Elephas maximus indicus: one gene and its partner. The protein of the gene in region 2 interacts with the protein of the main gene of each other region in a biochemical or structural test. Links are inferred from orthologs where the notes say so. Each region holds a gene or a part of one and is shown on either strand. Other genes may lie near its edges.

The links. The genes of interacting proteins can lie anywhere in the genome.
Region 1: the proteins of ERBB3 (region 2) and PTK6 form a complex in vitro, tested with the Homo sapiens proteins (2 studies listed by BioGRID and IntAct, with this or other methods). The link is inferred for Elephas maximus indicus from reciprocal best matches to the Homo sapiens genes ERBB3 and PTK6.

Annotation. Positions count from the first base shown.
Region 1 is NC_064843.1:4,495,486-4,503,205, forward strand, and holds the start of PTK6 (protein-tyrosine kinase 6), read left to right. Parts: upstream 1-4,708; 5' UTR 4,709-4,953; intron 4,954-5,528; exon of another isoform or gene 5,529-5,971; 5' UTR 5,972-6,733; coding exon 6,734-6,954; intron 6,955-7,720. UniProt on the Homo sapiens protein: Non-receptor tyrosine-protein kinase implicated in the regulation of a variety of signaling pathways that control the differentiation and maintenance of normal epithelia, as well as tumor growth.
Region 2 is NC_064822.1:116,043,667-116,050,767, forward strand, and holds the start of ERBB3 (receptor tyrosine-protein kinase erbB-3), read left to right. Parts: upstream 1-4,090; 5' UTR 4,091-4,454; coding exon 4,455-4,536; intron 4,537-7,101. UniProt on the Homo sapiens protein: Tyrosine-protein kinase that plays an essential role as cell surface receptor for neuregulins.

The DNA.
Region 1 (7,720 bases), on a different chromosome or scaffold from region 2:
TGGGTGCTCACTGGGGGTTGGACCCGGGCAGGACATCACTTAGAGAAGACAGGACACAGAGCGGGACACTGGGGACCGAGCCACTTGGCCAGCCAGCACGATGACTGCTGTGCCTGCCACTTGCAGCTGGTACTTCAGCAGGATCAGCAGGACTGAGGCCCAGCAGCGGCTTCTTTCGCCTGCCAAAGCACCTGGAACCTTCCTCATCCAGCCCAGCGAGAGCAGCTGCGGGGATTACTCCCTGTCAGGTACTCCGGGTGGCCCGTCCCTCTGGTGAGCCCTGAGCCCAAGCCAGCTGAAAAGCCCTTCACCTGCAGACATGTGCCTACCAAGGGCTGGACTGGGGGCGTGCTGGTCACTTCACGTGATTGCTGGTTCACTTACTCATTAATTCATTCTCCTGGTCATTTATTCACGTATTAACTCATTCTTTCACTTACCCCTTCATTCACTCATCCCTTTATTTATTCATTTGTTCATTTATTCACTTGTTAGTCAGTTCACTTACTCAGTCCCTCACTCATTCATTATCCAGTTGTTTGCTTATCCATTCATTCACTTAGTCATCTATTCGCTACTCACACGTTCATTTAACAAGTGTCTCTTGTGCACCCACTCTGAGCCCAGCTCAGTGCATGCTGTCCCCGGACTGCCGGTCCCCTCTCACCACTCCCTGGTCTGCAGCTGCCCAAGTGGCTGGGGCTGTAAGGCTGGATCTGAGCCAGGTCCCTCGGGGGGGCAATGGACCTCATCTGTCAGAGGTGGTGGAGGTCTGAGGCAGGCAGGACACAGCCAAGACGTGGTCTCCATCTCTCACAGCTCCAGTCCAGGCCCAGGCCAGGGTCTGCCACTACCGCATCTCCTCGGTGGCCGAGGGCAGCCCCTACCTACAGAAGGTCCGGCTCTTCCCCAGCATGGAGGAGCTGCTTGCCTACTGCAAGACCAACTGGAAGCTAGTCCAGAATCCACTGCTGCAGCCCTGCGTGTCCCAGGTGTACCCACCTGCCCAGCAACCAGGCCCCCACTGCCCCCCTCCCACTGCTCTCCATAATCGATGGGGGGGCTCAATGGGCAGGCAGATTCCTGGGCACAGTTTCCCTCAATATACTTCCCAGAGTGGGGGCCACTCCCTCCCAAGCCTCTTATCTCCATTGCCGAAAGACCCTGAGGGATGTGAAGCCCAGTTGGGGGGGTGGAGGAGGGTGCTGGGAGGGCAGAGCCGAGTCTGTGCCACGGAAGGAAGCTGTGGGAGGGAGACGGTGATCACTGATCCGGAGCCTCAGTATCTCCCGGATCACCCAGGCATGCTGTCCTGGTTCCTCTAGTCCAGCCAGCACAGCAATGAGTGTTCGTGGACGGATGTCCGGCTTGGGCAAAGGGGCCACTTACGTCCCTGAGACACTGGGTCAGGCCCTCCTGAGGTCAGCAACCTGTGTCCCCTTGATCCCAGTTGGAGGCAGGAGCACTTTGAGGCGTGAGGTGAGGGGCTCCCAGGACTTAACAGGAAGACAGGGCCCTGTCTGCAGCCCCTACCCCCACCCCCACCCTGAGACCCTTCTTAGTCCGGACCCCCTCTCCTGGAGAGCACGGGCAGAGATACTGAGCCTCCAAACTTGCAGAAGCCCCCGGGGTGGGACGAGTGGGAGCAGCCGTGCGCCAAGTTCGCCCTGTGGAAGAAGCTGGGTGAAGGCTACTGAGGGATGGTGTGGGAAGACCTGTGGCTGGGCTCCGTGCTAGTGGTGATCAAGGTCATCAAATCAGGTGGGTGGGCTTGCGAGGCCCTCTTATCCCTTGAGTCCCCTGAGGCAGGGGCGGGGGGCAGGTTGTGGCCACCGAGCCTCATTGGTGCCTGTCCCCGCAGCCAACATGAAGCTCACGGACCTCGCCAAGGAGATCCAGACCCTCAAGAGCCTCAAGAACGAGCGGGTCATCCAGCTGCATGAGGTGTGCTCCACGGGGCGGCCTGTGTACATCGTTACCGAGCTCATATGCAAGGGCAACCTGCAGGCCTACCTGGGCAGTGAGTGGCTCTGCTGCCCTGCACTGACCACTCCCCGCACCCTCTCACCTCTCACCGCTGACCCTGTCCTGCCTGCCCTGCCCCTCTGCCCCACCCTGAGGCTACAGGCCCCAGCTCCCGGGCCTCGCCCCTGCCCGCCTACCAGCCCCAGGTTCCAGCTCTGCCCCAACCCCACTCCCGCAACAAGGCTCCGTCCCATCCCTGCAAAGCAAGGAGCCCAGGTCCAGCTCCCTGTTTCCGCCCTACCTCCCCCCTCACCTCGACCCTGGTACTGTCCAGGCCCCCAGCTCTGCCAGGACTTCCCCCTTCCTCACACAGCCCTGCTTCCAGGCCCCAGCCCACTTTGTTCCACAGCTGCCTCTCATGTGGACAATGGCACCTGATCCCTTCTAGGTGGGAGGTCCAAAGGACTGTGATTCGGGCTGCAGATACCTGGCCCTACTTGGCCTCAGGCCAACAGAAGGTCACGTTCTGGGGTCTGAGCTGAGCTTTATGGAGAGGTGGGGGGACAGGCCCATCTGGACACTGGCCTCTGTGCAGTGTGGCCTAGGGAACTTATCCATTCTGGGCTTTCTTGTCTTTTGGAGTCTCCAAGGCCAGGCCAGGTGGCTGAGGGCTAGGACGTGCCAGGCACCCCTGCATACCAAGACCCTGCACACCAAGCCCTGGCCCAGTGCTCCATGCCAGGTCTCACTTGCCCACCTAGGCCTTTGTGGTCGCTGCCTTCACCACACTTCCAGGTGAGGACAGGAGACAGAGAGCCAAGTGAGGCCTCCCTTCCCCCCTGCAGGTCCTGAGGGCCAGGCCCTGAGCCTGGCCCACCTTCTGAGCTTTGCCTGCCAGGTGGCCGAGGGCATGGGCTACCTGGAGGAGCGGCACATGGTGCACTGAGACCTGGCAGCCGGGAATGTGCTAGTGGGCGATGACCTTGCCTGCAAGGTGGCTGACTTTGGCCTGGCCTGGCTTCTCAAGGTCAGTGCAGCCTTGGGCTCAGGGTGGCCAGTGGGTGGGGGAGTCCTGCCCCACCTACCCCACCGTGCTCTCCTCTCTTCCCAGAACATCTACGCACCAAGCAGTGGCACCAAGATCCCTGTCAAGTGGACGGCACCCGAGGCTGCCAACTACCATGTCTACTCCCAGAAGTCAGACGTCTCTTCCTTTGGTGTTCTGCTCTTCGAGGTCTTCACCCATGGCCAATGTCCCTACAAAGGTTCAAGGGTGTCCAGGGAGGAGGTGCACCCTGCCAGGGGATCCAGTCAGAGAGAGGAGGCACATCCTGCCCTGGGGACTCATCTGTAGGAGGAGGCACTTCCTCGGGGGATCTAGTCTGAGGGAGGAGGTGCACCTTGACCCAGATGCTTATCTGAGGGAGGAGGCATGGCTCTGCCTGGGGAGTCAACTCAAGGGAGGAAGCACGACTCTCCCTGGCAGTCAGAGGGCCTGGCCAGGGGCAGATTGGTGATCAAGAGGCTTACAAGCCACATGTCCACTATGATCCTGGGCCTGCTCATTGGTCCCCTCCCCAGGAATGACCAACCATGAGACGTTGCAGCAGATCTCCAGAGGGCACTGGCTGCCTCGCCCAGCCACCTGCCCTGTGGAGGTGTATGCACTCATGTTGGAGTGCTGAAAGGGCAACCCCGAGGAGGGGCCAGCCTTTGCTGAGCTGCAGGAGAAGCTGGGTACTGGCTGCAGACGCCCCCACCAGGCCCTTACATGACCCGGCACGGGGCACCACCACTGGGGCCCCATCTCTCCCTTCCGGTGGCCACTCAGGATGTTTGTTGAAACATGTGCAGAGATGTCCGCAGCTGGGAACCCCACTGGCCTGCACGCCCATGGAGCCTCTGGTGTGGGCCTTATGAGCTGACACCCACGCACGTGCAAACACCTGGACAGCTGGTGAGTGTCATTTCGTCAGCATGACCTGCTTCCCTGGTGTCTCAGGGAGACGAACTCAGCCAGAAGGGCCTGGTGGAGTCTGCGTCTGCCCAGGCCCAGGGAGGCACTGGGCAGGGAGTCCTGGGATGCAGGGGCCCTTACTTTGCCCTCGATGTGAACCTCACTGGGCACACACTGTACACACACAGGAGAGAGCACTGTCACAGTTGGCTGTGTGTGAACCTGTGCACACATGAGCCAACACCCAATAAATATTTATTGTCCGACTCAAACAAGCGTAGACGCACACAGCAGCCCTTGGCCTCCCTTGAACCTAGGGCTGGGGTCACTGATGGTGGCTCTCTTGGGTGGGGTGAGCATCGGAGGGGGAGAGCCGGCCCCACGTGGCCTTGCTGCTCCCAGGGCATCATGGCGTTCAGCATGGTGGGTGCAGAACTGTGCCAGGCAGAGTGGCACCTGGGGGCGTCAGCACACCTGGTGGAGGCTGTGGGAGAGTCAGGGGTCTTAGATGACCCCTGCCTTCCAAAAGGCTCATGTGGCTGTGGGAACTGCCCTCTCCATCTCCAGGGCGGCAGCAGAGAGGACAGGCAGGATATCAGGGTAGCCCAAGCTGGGGGCAGTCAGGGAGAGGTGGGGGGCTGCAGGCAGAGGCAGTACCAGTAGAGGGGACCCCAGCAGCCTGGCTGTGGCTCAGGGGCTGGGGGAGGGGCCAGAGGAGGCCAGGCCAGGGGGCGGGACCAGAGGGCTTGGCCTTTGGGGCTTGAGGATGCTGTCCTCTGAGGCCACACCTCTGCTTCTGCCTTGCCCAGCAGCAGGTCCGCTGGGTGGGTTCTGGGGGGCTTCCCCAACATGGGGCAGCAGCAGTGGGGGATGGGACTCCTATGGACCAGAGTCTCAGATACTGTGAGAGTCTTAGCCTGCTTTCCGGAGGCAGCGTGAGTGAGTCAGCACAGTTGGGAGGCGAGGGACACCAAGCCGGAACCTGGGTCACCTCGTGTTCCTGAGCATGTCAGCCTCTACAAGCTGAACAGGTTTGGTGTTCATAGGCCTTGGGGAGGGGCTGGGACTTTTGACTCCTGAAACTTGCTTGCTTCCTGGTCTGGCTGAGACACACACGTCCCAGCTCTGAATGTCAGAATGAAGACAGCCATGTGCCTCTTTTCCCCTTCTTTAAAAGTGAAGGTTCACATGAGCAGTTTCCTGTGGGGTGGTCTCTGGGTCCTTACTTACAGACTTGGAAACCTGCTCCGGCCCTTCTCACCTTTTCTGCACTTCCTGCCCCCCTGTGGCTGTCCCCAGGAGGGGTGGGAGCTCCCTGGGGTGGACGTTGCAGGGTTAACAGGGAGGTGGGGGGCTCTGGGGAGAGTCTTGGCCCATGCAGGACATGTGTTGTGGTGGGGGTGGGGCAGAAAGAGACCCAGGTGGAGGGGTTTCACCCCAGCTGCTGGGCGAAAGGAAGCAGGGCTTGCTTGGGAGTGGAGGGGGTAGGGGTGAGCGGGAGGGGGGGAACAGAGGACATGGAGGACCAGACCTTGATTCTGCTGGGCTGGGCAGAGAGGGAGGTGGGAAGAATGGGCGGGGAGGGGTCTCACCCAGGAGGTGGAAGCTGTAGGCACATGCAGGCTGGGCCCTAAGATGGGGCTCCTTTCGGGTGTGTTCTCCGTCTTGGTTGCCCCTCATGTCCTGTCCAAGAGAGTAGTGCCCTCTTCTTTGGCCAAGAGCCTGTGCTCCCAGGACACACACTGCGCCGGCTCTCCTGCTCCGGCTTTCCAGGGGCCCAGAGTCTCCCAGTCACATCTTCAAGGAAGCGTTCCGGGCCAGCCCACACCTGTCTGCCCTACCAACTTCGTGCATGTCTTGTCTGCCAGCTGCCTGGCTTCGGCCTGCCCAGCCTGCTCTAGGCAAGCAGGTGCTCAGGTAGCAGGTGGGGCAGCCCTCCAGGGAACCTGTGCAGTGCTGGCACCCCTACCCGTAGACGAGAGCCCAGGCTCAGGCCAACCCTGCACCCATTGCCCCTCTGCTTCTCTTGGGCCCCTTCCACCCTTCCAGGTTCTTCCTATTATCCTACCACAGCCTCACCTGCTTCCTCGGCTCAGCTTGTCACAGGCACAGGGGAAGAGGCAGCCAAGGGCAGTCCAGGCAGTGCCTCATGGTGGGGGACCACCAGAGCAGCGACAGCCCACCCCAGCTCCTCAGAGTGTGTGGAGCGCTCCATGGTGAGAGAGGCAGCTGGGAGTGGAGGTGAACCCTTTAGGGAGAGTGGCACCAGCTGCTCTTGGCCTCTCGTGCCTTTGTCTCCTCACTGAGATGGGGGAGGAAGTGCCTGTGGCCCCTATCCACTTTCTCCACCCCTCTCTTCCTCCACCTCAGGCTGTCACTCACATCAGAGTGTCAGCTGCTAACTGCAGCCACCTGCAGCAGGTCCCTCTGCAGTGCCACCCCTTACCCCTGCCCCTGGCTCAGGTCTGTCTGCAATGGGCCCCCTCAGGTCCAGCTGAGTGGCTGAGGGCACTTCAGTGGCCACTCTGAAGGGCATGTTTCCTGTGAAGAGATGCCCAGAGAGATGATGGTGGGTAGTGCAGGCCTGGCTGCCTGCGGGCACAAGGACAGGTGGGGGCTCAGGTGGCCTCAGGGAGGCCCCCTGGGAGCCAGGGCGTGGCCAGCCTGGCTGCCTAGTCAGGAGGAAGTGGGAGGGCCTGTGGCTGGGTGGATGACCTGTCAGGGAGCGTCACCTGCCCGCCTGCCCTGGTGCCCACAGGCACAGCGGCACTTCAGCCAGGCCAGGCAGCCCGACCTGCCGCTGTGTCCACCATGGTGTCCCGGGGCCCATTGTGCCTGTACGTGGGGCTCTGGGACTTCGAGGCCCGCACGGCTGAGGAGCTGAGCTTCCGGGCAGGAGACCTCTTCCACGTGGCCCGGAAGGAGGAGGAATGGTGGTGGGCCACTCGGCTGGACTCAGCAGACAGGGGCCTGGCCCAGGGCTACGTGCCCCACAACTACTTGGCGGAGAAGGAGACGGTGGAGTCAGAGCCGTGAGTCTCCTCCTGGCCCCCACTTGACACGGACGCTGCCTCAGGGCTGCTCAAGGGTTGGGGCAGGGCTGAGCCTGGACAGGCCCGTGCTATGCACCTGTGGCTGGGCTGGGGCAGGGGTTCTGGGAGGTCTGAGTAGAAGGCCCAGCTTGCGTTTGCCTGGGATGGACCTGCAGCCGCTGCCCTGGCTCCTAGGTCAAGGCTGGACAGATGGCTTTGCTTCTACTTCTGGGCACCGCCCCCCCCGCCCTGGGAGGGCCTGGCTATGTGGCTTGATTCATCACATCTGGGGGTGGGGGAGGCTGCGGAGGGTGTGGGGCTCTTCTTGGGTTTACCCCACGCTACTTGGGGTTGGGGTGCCGTGCTGCCAGGACCTAGATGGGCCCGGGGGTATGAGGGGGCTCTGGAAGCTGGCCCAGGGCATGAGTCTTTGTGCAAGTCCTGAGGTGGGGGGCAGGACTTTTCTAAGCAACAGAAACCAGCCACATGACCTAGTTAGAGGCGGCAGGAGGCCGTTTTGACATGCCTGGCCATGGAGTAGGGTGTGGAGGTGGCAGGTGCACAGCGGCTGTGGACATTCGCTCCCTGCCCCCTCCCAGCCACCTCCTGTCACTGGCCAGCTAGCCCGCAAGGCAACGGCCTGGTGGTCAGCTGGAGGCTCTCAGAGCTGAGGGACAGCCTGGAGTGGGAGTGTACCGTTGCCTGTGTGTGCTCACGGCAACCTAAGGTTCTTGCCCCACTGCCTGGCTGCCAAGATTTCCTGGGC
Region 2 (7,101 bases):
GATTCAGTTTTGCTTGCTGAAAGTAAAGAGGACTTGAAGCACTTATTGATGAAGATCAAAGATCATAGCCTTCAGTATGGATTACACCTTAAATAAAGAAAACAAAAATCCTCACAACTGGACCAATAAGCAACATCATGATAAACGGAAGAAAGACTGAAGTTGTCAAGAATTTCATTTTACTTGTATCCACAATCAACACCCATGAAGCGACAGTCAAGAAATCAAAAGGTGCATTGCATTGGGCAAACCTGCTGCAAAAGACCTCTTTAAAGCATTGAAAAGCAAAGATATCACCTTGAGGACTAAAGTGCACCTGATCCAAGCCATGTTGCTTTCAATCGCCTCATATGCATGTGAAAGCTGGACAATGAATAAGGAAGACTGAAGAAGAATTGAGGCCTTTGAATTGTGGTGTTGGTGAAGAATATTGACTATACCATGGACTTCCAAAAGAAGGAACAAATCTGTCTTGGAAGAAGTACAACCAGAATGCTCCTTAGAAGCAACAATGGCGAGTCTGCGTCTTACATACTTTGGACATGTTGTCAGGAGGGATCAGTCTCAGAGAAGGACATCATGCTTGGCGAGTACAGGGTCAGCGGAAAAGGGGGAGAACCTCAGCGAGGTGGATTGACACAGTGGCTGCAACAATGAGCTCAAGCATAACAACGAGTGTGAGGATGGCTCAGGACCGGGCAGTGTTTAGTTCTGTTGTGCATAGGGTCGCTCGCTATGAGTCAGAACCGACTCGACAGCACGTTAACAACAACAGCACCCTGTCAAGGAGCCCTGGTGGCGAAGTGGTTAAGCACTCAGCTGCTAACCAAAAGGTCAGTGATTCGAACCCACAGGTGTCTCCATGGGAAAAAAGACCTGGCCATCTGCTCTGGTAGATTTCAGCCTAGGAAACCCTATAGGGCAGTTCTACTCCATCATATAGGGTTGCTATCAGTCAAAATCCACTCAATGGCACACAACAACAGCGCCCTGATAGGGGGCCTTTCCAGGGAACTATGCATTGCATGGTGGGATCCGAAGGTTTCTAGAAGTCAGCTGGAGAAAGAAACCCATCAGTCATACATCTAAAAGTCTATCCAGGAATTGACTGGCTAAGGAGATCATGGCCTGATATGGGGGGAAGACCTCATCACTTCCTGAACTGATTTGCTGACTACAGCATTTCAGACTAGGTGGCCCCCTCTACAGACTGACTTCAGCGGACCCTCCTTCAGGGAGTCTCACCAGAGACCCAATCGTAAGTCATTACTCAAGCCCAGTGATCCCAGGCTCAGCAGTTCGGTGTGAGCGAGTGAGTAGGTGGGCCTAGTTTATGTGTTATATGAGGAGCCTATTTTTATTCCAGTGGGTCAGTGCTACTCAGCTCCCCACTGTGAAAAGTATGTAAATCACTCACCATTTCTACCCTCCCCATTCAGATTGCATCCTTACCTCAATAAGAATTCCCATTTTTGCTCCATCTAGACCTCTCTTCCAACTCTCCTCCCGTTTTATCACCCTTGGGTCTTTACATGGTGGAGGAACATGTGCACTTGAGCTTCACTGGAAAAGTAAAAGACATGGTCAATTCTGACAAGCCTCCTACACTGAGGCAATAATATTGCCTGACAGTCCATATGCAATTAGCTGGGTTTATTGTTGTTATTTTTAAATCTAGGATCAATCAGGGATCATTCATTGCATTTGGTTCTGTGTTTTTGATCTTCTTTGACGTGAAATGATTCTCTTGACTTTTTTTTTTTATGACATTGGCACGTTTAAAGAGTCCAGCCCAATTGTTCAGTAGAATGTAGGACAAGGAACTCTGTTTGGCCTTTTGTTTCTGGTTTTCAAAAATAGCCTGAGCAATTAAGGTACTCTTTGTCTTTCTAAAACAGCCCAGCCACATTTAAACAAGTGTAAAGTAGGGGACTACCCAGGCCCCAACCTGGCAAGAGACCTGAGGAAGAGAGGGGCGTGACGCACTCATTGACTGAACTGATAAAAATGATGCACTGAGGCCTCAATAATGCATATTCCAATTTGATACATGCACATTCATTGAGGTCCCAGTGACTAAAAAAAAAAAAAAAAAAGTGACTAGGGGACTCTAAACCTTGGAACTCTCTTTGGGGATTCCAGAATTGGTGAGAACATCCACGCAGGGGAGAGGGTGCTGCATGTCCTTGGGGACAATGGAAGCCTCATGCTGGGACCTCTCTCAGACCCTGCCTAATGTGTCTCTATGTTTGCATTCCTTCAGGTTATGATAAAGTATATGTAAGTACAAGTCATAGTCTCTGTGGATTTTGTGAGCCTTTATAGAGAATTACAGAACCCACAGGGGCCATGAGCCAGCAGGGGCTGCAGTACAGAGCTGATTTGTGTAGGCCGGGCTCTGAGCGGCTGAGTCCGACAGACCATGAAGAAGCATAGAGTCCTTCCAGCGTGTCTGACCTAATCCCAGGACACTAGGGTAAGAGAGAGAGAGAGAGAGAAAGAGCGAGAAAGACCAGTCTGAAGTGTGTTAAAACAAAAATCATATTATTAAGCCAACAATAGGAACTGATTGAAATTTACTGAATATATGATTTGCAAATTAGGGTAACATTTCAACTAAGAGTGTCCGAAATATTCCAAAAATGAGAAGAATTTCCAGCCAGGGCCCTGAAACCTAGGTTGAGGTGGTGAGCGATAGAAGGTCCTCTAATCTGGGGGAGAGTAAGTAGGGATGGAAATTCCTAAGTGATGTTAGCTCAGTTATCTGATGGGAGTTTGAATCTCAGTATTGCATAAGAAATCCTAGTCAAAAACCTGAGTCCCTCGTCCTGATTCTTCTAGATAAATCACGAGTTTCTAGAACTTCCGTTTTCCATTCTGTGAAAAAAGGGAACAAATGTCACCTAGTTTGTATAGTTTTTCTGTTAAGTGAAACATTCATTAAGGTACTGAGTTTGAGGAAATGTTTTACAAATTAAGTGGTATATGTTTGTATATGTCAAAGGCTTGTGCTGTCGCAATTACAGTACCACCGTCACGTGAGTGGTCTGGGCGAGGCCAGCGCCCTAGAAGTGGACAGAGAAAGTCTGAGAAGTTTTAGCCCGTTGTCTTGGCCTGGGGTGAGGGGCGACATTTTTCTTCATCAAGATACAATTGTTCTTGATTATTCAAGCCTGAAGCTTTGGGGAAAATAAAATCGACTCTCCGTTTAAGACCCGGAATGCCAATCTCTGGGACTGAAATCTACGCCGTGTGGGGCTGGTGGGCACCAGGGGGCGCCAGTTGGGTGCGTCGAGGGGCCTGGCCCAGCCTTGGGCAGCCACCCTCGGTGCACCCGACCGCCTCTGGTCTGGATCCGGGAGTTGGTGCGAGAGGTGCCAGGGATCCATGCCATTCACGGACGCAGTCTCTATTGCCCCTTCCTTCTTTCCAGTGCGAGCCCGGGCTTGGGAGGCGCCGGAGGGTGTGAGCGCCTGTGGCGAGGTGTGCCCATATGGGTCCCCAGCCGACCGGCGAGAGCTACGGCCGCCCCGTCGGCGAGGTCACAGACTCCAGTGTGGAAGGGGCGCCAGCTGTTCTCCCAGGCGGCCGTGGGGGGCAGCAGAGGGGACGGCGACAGGTGCGGGAGCCCCTCCCAGGGTGGAACTGGAAAGCGGGCTCTGGGGTCTGTTCCCAGGCTGGAAACCACCCCCGCCCCCCAACCAAATCCCCGGGAGAGGCCGAGCCGGCGCCGGGTCTGGAGAAGGAAGCGGCCGGAGACAGTGCAATTTCACGCGGCCTCTGGGCTCGGGTTCCTGGGCAGGGGGGATGAGTTGTGGGGTTTTGAGCCGGGGGAAACTGAGGTGGCCTAAGCGTGAAGCAAACAACACCCTCCCCCTCAAAAACACACAGAGAGAAATATTCACTCCAGAGAGAAAATCCTCAAGTGATCCAACCGGCTAGGGGAGATGAGTGATTTGGTTAGTGGGCGAGGCCAGCTTTCAGGGGGCCGGGCTTTGGCGCTCTCTCCCCGCCCCCATTACCTTTCCGGGGATTTGGGGGGCTTCTGGAATCTTGACCTCCGCCTTCGTAGCCCAGCTCCGGAAGGAAAGTTAGAGTGAGACCCCTTCTTCGTCTGCTTGGCGAAGAAGAGGGAGTCCCGGAGTTGCCGAGGTGTGGGGCGCGCTCGGGGCGGGCAATCAGTCGGAGACTCCAGCAAACTCCTCCAGCCCGGCTCGAAAGGGGGCGCGGCCGTGACTCACCCCCTCCCCTGCGCGCCCTCCCTCCCTCCTCTCACAGACACACACCCCTCCTCTGCCACCCGCCAGGACTCCGGCTCCGGCTCGGGTGGTAATTTGCTGCCGCCGCCGCCACTATCACTTCGCTGGCGGGTCAGGTGGCTCCTGCCTCGATGTCCTAGTCCAGGGGCCCCCGGGCCGGACTTGGCTGGGCTCCCCTCACCCTCCGCTGGAGTCATGAGGGCGAACGGGGCTCTGCAGGTGCTGGGCTTCCTTCTCAGCCTGGCCCGGGGCTCCGAGGTGGGCAGCTCGCAGGCAGGTAAGCGGCGGGGAAGCACTGGCCAACTCGGAACCGGGATCCGAACCGTGCGCGGAGCCACTGAGGGTGTGAGGCGCCGAGTCTCGCACAGTGCGAGGCTGAGGCTTCTGACCCCGACTCCGCGGGTATCACCTGGGAGGGGACGGTCAGGTTTGGTGGCTTGGGTTCTCGGCGTGGTCCGGTCAGGGACCGGCTTCCTGGGCCCCCTTCTCCCTAGCGCGCCAACGACCCTCTAATTCGTTCCCCTGATGGTACTGACGGCGAAACAGTAGTTCACACTTCTGAGGGACCCTCAGGGAGAGGAGCCGGAACCTCCATTCCGTAAGAGTAAGGAGATGATTGGAGGTAGAGATCTTCGGGGGGGAGGGGGAGTCTCTACCCCCCAGTTTCAGCAACCTCCAGTTTCGTTGTTTTGCCGACAGGGCGGAGCTACGGGAGGATTGGGGGTGGGGAGGGGAGGTGATGGTGGTTGTTGTTCTCTGGTGTTGGAAAACAGGAGCTGCACCTCCTCTTCCGTGAGTGGCCTGCCCCGGGGAGGTCTGAGATTAACCAGAGGGCCAAGTCCAGGTGACAGCAGGGTGAGAGGCCCAGCCCACCCTGGCTGCCCGCTTTCCCTCCAAATAATAAAGCTGGCTGGTCCCCTACGAGGCCAACTTCTTTTTGGCAAGACCCAGTTCAATTCAACTAGTATTTATCGAGCATCTACCATATACTAGACCCTAGGCCAGGAACTTTGTAGGGACAAGGGCTTCCAGCCTCTATTTCTCCGTTTGTCTTTTCTCTCCCCAACTTGAGGCCAAGAATGCCCTACTTCCACCTTCTGAGGCTTCTGCCCTGGAGAGCCCTTCCCAGGCCCAGCTCCTCACCCAGTTTCGTTTATTTGACTCCAGGAGAAAAGAGTCCCAGACTGCTCATCTCTATTCCTTCCCCCCAGTGCCACCTAATCTCTTTTTGGGGGTGTCTCTGGGACCGCAGACACCTGAGGGGTGCCAGAACTGGAGGAGTCCTGTTGATCTCCTCTCCTGTTCCCAGATACCAGCTTGCAGTGTGTGGCACAGCCAGGGCCCCTTCCCCAGGGTGGGAGTGGGAAAACACCTGTGCTTCCCCCACAGTTGCTGGGCCTAAATTTAGACCCTGGGATCTTGAGATATGAACACTCCCAGCTGGTGGGGGGGGGGGGTCTGGGGATTGGAGTGGGAGGGAGGAGCGAAGTGACTATCACTGGTCCATCCAGACCCCTGGAATTTTCAAGCAGTAACCCAGGAGTCCCAGATTCTGGCCCCTTCCCTGGGGGAGGCAGGAGGCAAGCATGGTTGGGTCTCTTTACCCTTTATCTGGGTTCTGCAGCCTCTGGGCATCCGGCCCTGTCTCAGTTCTATAGCCCCTTTGTCCCAGCTATGATGGCTGTGATGGGGGTGGGGGATGTTAGAGGGGAGGCCCTTGGTTGAGGAGGGGCTTGAGGTTCTTGTTCTGCCCCACACCCAGTTCACTCTACCAAAGGAGAGCTTGTGACACTGACCCTTCCTATCACCCTGGCCCTGTGGGACAGTTAGGGATTTTTGTAAAATTCCTCTCTCCCTGTCCCCCTCCTCAAGCTGTCTGGCTTCTCCCCAGAGATGTTGTTCGTCCCTCTCCCTGCCCAGGCCCTTTGCTCCCTGTTTGTGTAATATGGACTTTACCCTCAGGGTGGCAGGGAACTGGAGATGGAACTCTAACAACTAGCCTTCCAAGCATAGACACAGAGTCTGCACACACACATATGCGCACTTGGCGGTGGATGGGACACCTGAAATACTTCCCAATAAGAAAACCCAAGGGCAGAACTCATATAGATTGAAGGGGAGCTATAAACATGTTTGTATGTGTGGGCCTACATGTGCGTGCGTGCACACATACACACACCACTTCCGTATGCAGAGATCTTGGCTCCTCCCTTATCTGGGGACAAGGATTGGCGCCTTGACTTGGAAGAGGGGGTGTCTTGCCAGGAAGGGGGTTGGGGTGGGGCTGAAATGACTAACCTTCCTAGTCTCTTTTCAGCCCAAGGACCCTGAAGTACCCAGGCTCCTTTGGGAGTTCCTGGCCTGTTTACCCTTCTTCTGAGCCTACATCTACCCCCCCCCCCCACTGCTCCCCTAACCTCTCCCCCCCCCCAGGAGTGATAGATAAGGGGAGCCCCTCCAAGGTCAGTAGGTCAGAATTGGGTAGATCTAAGAGGAGGGGCTGGGGCTTCACCATTTTCCCTCCATTCCCACTCCTGCCTCCCACTAAGCTGACACTGCCTCAGGGAAGGGTGGTTGGAACAGGTGGTATCTACATACGAGCACATGCGCTCAAACACACACACAACAGAGTCTTGCACCGAGCCAGGTGAAAGAGACAGGAGCAAGGTTTCAAGGTCCACCATTTCCTGGAGCCCCTATATCCTTCATACTTACAAGTTAAAGGGAACCCCGAGACTGACATGCCTCCCGTACCTCTATTCTAGACTCTCCCCTAGTGTGGGTGAGGATTGCCATGTTGAGAAGGCCTTTTCATGAACCCCTTTGTCAGTGAAATTGGGTG